Linked DNA regions of Mus musculus: region 2 is reported to be linked to region 1. Evidence: microRNA targets listed by miRTarBase, many of them from high-throughput screens and not tested one by one. Region 1 holds a microRNA gene; the other region holds the end of a gene's coding sequence.

Region 1 (3,095 bases):
GAATGCATTATTCTCAAGGTCTTATGCTCCCGGTACTGTTGATTTATTGTTAAGAACGTAAACACTTTTTCCAAGATTACATACTACTCAGTGATAAAATTGGCACCATGTCAACTCATCTTCATTTGTCAAAGTACCTTCCCTGCTTAACTTGATGGTCCTCGGGTGACCTGATTTATGGTGCTTTTTTGTTTCCCAGGTGACAAATCATGATCAAGAATATGCAGTCATGCTTAGTAGCTTCTGTGTGTGTAACATATGTCACATAATAAAATATAGAACATTTAAAATAAATCACCTCCCACCACAACCCCTGCCCTTCCCCAAAGCCAATCTGGTTAACACTTTCCCAGATGTCAGGCTGGACGTGGTGGTGCTGTAACTGTGGGACCTGAGAGGAGAGGATTAGGTTAGGCCATGTTATTCTGCATAGTGAAAACTTACCTCAAAAAAAACAAACAAAACCACAGTTTCTTGTAAATCACTCTTTATATATATATAAAATAATCATGAGCAAAATTTTGTTGTTGTTTTTTTACTTTGTGAGGATTGAAGCGATCTCATCTCTTAAGAAAACTTTTACAGAGGATCTGGTTTCAGTTCCTGTCAACTACATTGCAGCTCACAACATTCTGTAACTCCAGTTTCCGGGAACTGGACAGCCTCTTACGGTTTCCTTGGCACTGCATGCATGTTGTGTACATGCATACATGCAAATAAAACACACATAACATGTTTTTACATTTATACACATGGCTTTATTTAAGTATTTCCTGCTATTTGCAGATTCCTTTCCCTGAACACCAAAAATAAAATAATTAGTGATATATATATTTACTATTTCAGGTAAAGAGACAAGGAGTGAGAATGGGAATCTCATTGCAGGGACAGACTCTTGTGGAAGAATGGAATCATCTTGTACCATGACTGAACCCATTGAGGCCCAGTGTGAGGACCTGAGCTTGAAAAAGAATCCAGCCATGCCCAAGGAAAAAACTAACAGCCAATGCTTGGAAACTAAGGAGAGACTTGTTCAGAACTCAGGCCTGATTGAACATGACAGGGCACATACAGGAGAAATGTCCTGGGAATCTGTAGGATCTCAGAGTTCTGTTGCTGCTGACCATCAGGAAATCTCTAAAGACAAAGGTCATCCCTGCCAAGAGTGTGGGAAAGTCTTTCAGAGAAGTTCACACCTCATCAGACATCAGAAAATCCATCTTGGGGAGAAGCCTTACCAGTGCAAAGAGTGTGGAAAAGTCTTTAGCCAGAATGCAGGTCTTTTGGAGCATCTCAGGATCCATACTGGAGAAAAACCCTATCTGTGTATCCATTGTGGAAAGAACTTCAGGCGAAGCTCTCATCTTAATCGACACCAAAAAATTCACAGTCAGGATGAGCCCCGAGAATGCAAGGAGTGTGGGAAAACCTTTAGTCGGGCCCTCCTCCTCACCCACCATCAGAGAGTCCATGGTCGTTCCAAAAGACATCACTGTAATGAGTGTGGGAAAGCCTTCAGCTTGACCTCCGACCTTATTCGACATCATAGGATTCACACTGGAGAAAAACCTTTCAAATGTAATGTGTGTCAGAAAGCTTTCCGCCTAAATTCACACTTAGATCAGCATGTTAGAATCCACAATGAAGAAAAACCCTACAAGTGCAGTGAATGCAATGAAGCCTTCAGGCAGAAGTCTGGTCTCTTTCAGCATCAGAGACATCACCATAAAAGCAAACTGGCTTGATGAGGTTCTCTGTTTGAAACATGGAAATGTTACATTGATAAGCAAACAGCGCCTTTTGAAAGAACTCACGACGGCTTCAGGATTCTTGGAAGCCATTTGCCTCCGTTGTGTCCCTCTCTTGGCTTTACTTAAAGTCATAATTAGACTATAATAATTTACCAGAATAGCAGAATCAGAGTTAAACAAATATTCACTACAGAGCTTCTCAGAGCTTTCAGTGTGATAAGTACTTGATTATGTATCTCTTAAGTATTAGCTTTATGTGTGAATGAAGTGTTTGAAATCAGTAAGTCAAGTGCCTATAGATTTATACAGGACAAGATCAAGCTGATATTTTTGTAAGTACTGTAGCAACAGGCTCCTAAAACATAAAATTAATGAGGGTTGGGGATATGCTCAGTGGTTTAACCAAGTTGCTATGCAAGTGGAAGGACTGTTTTGGATCCCCAGCACCCATGTAAAGTCAAATGAGTATGTGGCCAGCCTGTGGCCTGTGGTCCCACCCCTCAGGTGGCAAAAATGGGATCTTTCTAGCAAGCTGGCTAGCCAGACTAGCTGTATCAGCAAACTTTGGACTCAGGGGAGGGAGTTTGGAGAGCAGTCGGTGGAGTTCTTGAGGAAGACTCCTGATGATAATCTAAGTGCACATGTGTCCATACGTATGTAGAGCCATACCTGCAAACATCATACATGTGAAAAGACAAATCCTAAGGAGCTAGAGTTAGCAGTTAACATACCTGCTCTTGCAGAGGACCCATCCATTTTCAGTTCCTAGCACCTCCATAGCACAGCGTCTCACAGTTCCAGTTCTGGGGATCTGCTAGCCTTCTCAGGCTTCTGTACACAGTGGTCCACAGAAACTGGTGGACACACACACACAACTGGTAAAATATTTTTAAGCCCAAAATAAATCTAATAATGCTTAGAAATACACATCCTCAAGGGTCTAACGTAGGTTAACTGAACATTTTCCCTGTTAGGTTCACACAAACACTGGCTTCATATCCACTTTACCTTTGTACCATCAATGAATGCATTTCTGAAAGCTTTTGCTGTTTAACTATAGAACCTACCCTTAGGATTAGCTCATGTCATTTTACATTTCCTGCCCATTTTAACCACAGTATCACAGTGTTTCAAATTATAAATCAAAGTTTTACCTAAACTATGCAAGAGACTTTGAGTCATTTGAGTGAACTGTGTTGAAGTATTCTAAGCAGCGACCTCCTTACTGGGCAGCAACAGTGCCAGTACAGTGACTGCTTGAAGGACACCTTTTTTCATGAATGTCCCATGGGGGGAAATGGGGTTTTCCCCCTTTGATACCAATGATGCAAATTTAAATGCTAC
Region 2 (3,095 bases), not on the chromosome of region 1:
ACAAGGTCAGCCCCTGCCAGGGACGGTATTGATAGAGAATCTGTGTATGAAGGCTATAAACCAATCCATAGGTAAGTGTGGGGCTGCTGCTGGGTGCAGATGGATGTTTTGAGGCGGGAGGGATGTTAGTACTGTATTGTCCATTTGAGGGGTCAGTGAAGGAGGAGTCCCCTATGCACATGCAGTATTGGTAGGTGAGTTGAACTCAAGAGTCTCGACTTGTGCATCTACCCAGGCAGGGCCATTAGGCACCAGAGGGACTTTGCCAGCATTGTGCTCCTGGATCACCGGTATGCGCGTCCTTCTATTCTGGCGAAGCTGCCAGCCTGGATACGAGACCGAGTGGAGGTCAAAGCTACCTTTGGGCCTGCATTTGCTGCTGTGCGGAAGGTTAGGTTTTGTCCCTGTGCCCCAGACCTCCCTGGCTTGAAATGGGGCTTCTCACAGCCTTTTTCTCTCTGCAGTTTCATCGAGAGAAGTCACACCCAAGTCTGGTATAAGCGTCTCATACCCTGCTTGACCTGGCCTTTGTATTTGGCCTAAGAAGATAGAAACCATATGCAGACTGCCAAGTGTACCCCAGCCTTCCAGAGGCAGTGGACTCTAGTGTTCAACTTGCATAGAAAAGCCAGCAGAACATCCTGAAGGAACCTGGCCCGAGACACCTTATTCCCTGCTCAGGTTCAACTTTCCGCCTGGCTTCAGGAGGCTGTGCTAGCAGCAGCTTTCTGCCTGTTCTGAGGTGAGACCCACCTGCCTCTGCCCTTTCTGGAGACAGTTAGCTTTTCTTGGCCTTTGACTCCCATCTCAGGCACCGATGTCCCCGTTTCAAGCATCATTGCCTGACCCACTGCAGTATGACACACACACCATCTGTGCAGAAGAGAGTTTTGAGAAAAAACTAGGACATACATAATATTGAAAGAGCTGACATGAATTTTGACTTTTCTGAAGGACCATCACAAAGACTTGGACCCTGGCCATAGACCTTTCTGTGTCCCACAATTTTTTCTCCTTCTACTTTTCCTCATAAACTAAGAGGCATTGATCCTGTCCATGGCTGTTCAGGACTCTGTGCTCAGAACATCTACCTGAAGACATGTCATTGGGCAAAAGTGTCTCCGTGTTTTTCATTTTTTTCTGCTGTCCCATGAAGGAGAACCCCAGTTAAGAGTCCAGCTCCTTTATATTCAACTGTGGCTGTCCCTTGTGTGAGCTTCAGCAACCTCAGGGGCAGTGCCCTTGCCATTTAGGCAATACACTGGTTGCATACTGCTTGCAAACTGAGAGGAGCCATAGAAGAGGACTTCTTTTTCACAGTTCTTGTGCCGCTTACAGCTCAAAAGAATTCCATTCTTGAATCTTCCTCAGATTGAAATGGTAAGGCTTCTCCAAGCAGTGGTGGCCCACGCCTTTAATCCCAGCACTTGGGAAGCAGAGGCAGGTGAATTTCTGAGTTCGAGGCCAGCCTGGTCTACAAAGTGAGTTCCAGGGCAGCCAAGGCTATACAGAGAAACCCTGTCTTGAAAACAAACAAACAAACAAACAAATGGTAAGGCCTCATACCTGAGGGATAGTGTTTAGAGACAGGACTCCTGTAGGGAGGTAGGGACAGATTTTTTTGTCACTAGTGTAGGGCTTTAGCATACACTAAAGTGCAGCTAGAAGTCCCCATCATAGGAGGACCCAGAGAATGGCAGCCTCTGTAAACCTTGAAGGGTTGTCACTGGGAATCCACTCATCTGTTACCTGTTATAGCAGAGTTCCTAGGCTTACATCCTAGGAATGTCATCCATGTGTCATGGCCGATTAAAAGAACAACTGAACCTACATGAACTTCATGATCAAGTATGAGAATCCTTCTAAATGCAGTTGACAATGTTATGGTAAGAGACATCTGTCTAGAGACAGCATGCAGTGTCAGCTATATAAAGGAGCATTGGGGAGATGCAGTGGGAGGAATAATTGGTTCAGGGGATCAAAGGGGATAGAAGGCTGCAGAATGGAGGGATCCAGAGACCTCATTTTTTGTGTGACCTCCATCAAGCCACTGAGTTGAACCTGGACTACTTAGTATGCACACTGCTCCTCAAAAATGCTTGTTTGGCCTCCCTTGGAAGCTGCAGGACACATGTACATGAGCTCTTTATGGAGAACTCTTCTTTTAACATGACAGCCAGGGTATGTGTCTGGGTATCCGTGTTCATACCAAAACATAAAGGTCAAAGTGCCCAGCCCAGCCCTAAACACGCATCCACTCCCTCCCACTCACTGATCAGCCAAGTGCTAAACACGCATCCACTCCATGTCATCCACTCCCTCCCACTCACTGATCAGCCAAGTGCTGGGAGACAGCATTTCAGTGCAGGGCTCCTCCCCTTATCTTCAGTCCAACCCAGTCCTCCTTCCTGAAGTTGCTCTATGTAGTCCTCTATGGGAACTCAACCTGGACCCAGGTTAAAGGATTCCCAGAAACTGATCTCACTACTACTGTGCTCATGCCCTAAGCACAGTGGAAGGCTTGGCCTGGATATCTTTCTCTGTGTACACAAGGAGGCCCTACCACACGGTTTCTGCCCTTGCTGGAAACCTGGAGACTCCTCGTGCCTAGAGAGGGTCATCTGCAGGACAAGCCTAGGCTGCTTGGCCGAGGCCTGCCAGCTTTTCCAACCTCTCAGGTTCCAGTGATACGTGAAGATCACTTAGGAATTCTTCCAGGGTGTTTCCAAAGAGCAGAGGGACCCCAGTGGATCTAATGAAGTCTGTGGATCACTCAGACAGGATCATCTGGATGTTGGAGTTGATAAGGAGAAAGCAATGCCCTGCTGCAGAGTGGGGATCCCAGCGAAGGAAAGAACCCATGACCACCAGAGGGCAGCAGAGCTCAGCATAGTGCAGTGCAGGCTGGGTGCTCTGGGAGGCAGCAGTCTGGCAAAGTTTCTGTGACTGCCAGGAAATAGGGCATTGAGCTCAGAGACCTGAATCCAAAAACATCCTGCTATGGGAGGCAGAACAACAAATTTCATGACTTTGGAAACCAGGAACACGGGCAGGAGAACCTGATCACATTCTAGGACCATTAATCATCTTCTCTG

What was found. Region 1 holds the annotated microRNA mmu-miR-1896 (CUCUCUGAUGGUGGGUGAGGAG, at 1,446-1,467, opposite strand). A microRNA usually pairs through its seed, bases 2 to 8, with sites in the 3' UTR of a target mRNA and lowers its output. Matches are read on the target gene's strand: a 7mer-m8 pairs with bases 2 to 8, a 7mer-A1 pairs with bases 2 to 7 and ends in A, and an 8mer does both.
Region 2: miRTarBase lists Ddx11 as a target of mmu-miR-1896. Seed matches in the 3' UTR shown: 7mer-A1 at 1,509-1,515 and 7mer-A1 at 1,688-1,694.

What each region holds. Positions count from the first base shown.
Region 1 is chr13:21,443,581-21,446,675 of GRCm38, reverse strand. Mir1896 (microRNA 1896) reads right to left here and starts at 1,516; the gene lies at 1,436-1,516. It overlaps Zscan26 (zinc finger and SCAN domain containing 26), which reads left to right. Exons shown (of 6, transcript NM_001347491.1): 6 at 847-3,095. The coding sequence ends at 1,745. 4930470G03Rik (RIKEN cDNA 4930470G03 gene) reads right to left here. Exons shown (of 4, transcript NR_151504.1): 3 at 2,483-2,605; 4 at 1-1,754.
Region 2 is chr17:66,150,339-66,153,433 of GRCm38, forward strand. It overlaps Ddx11 (DEAD/H box helicase 11), which reads left to right. Exons shown (of 27, transcript NM_001348292.1): 25 at 1-71; 26 at 236-390; 27 at 465-1,836. The coding sequence ends at 500. Among named protein-coding and RNA genes, the nearest start is that of Ddx11, 28 kb to the left of the region's middle.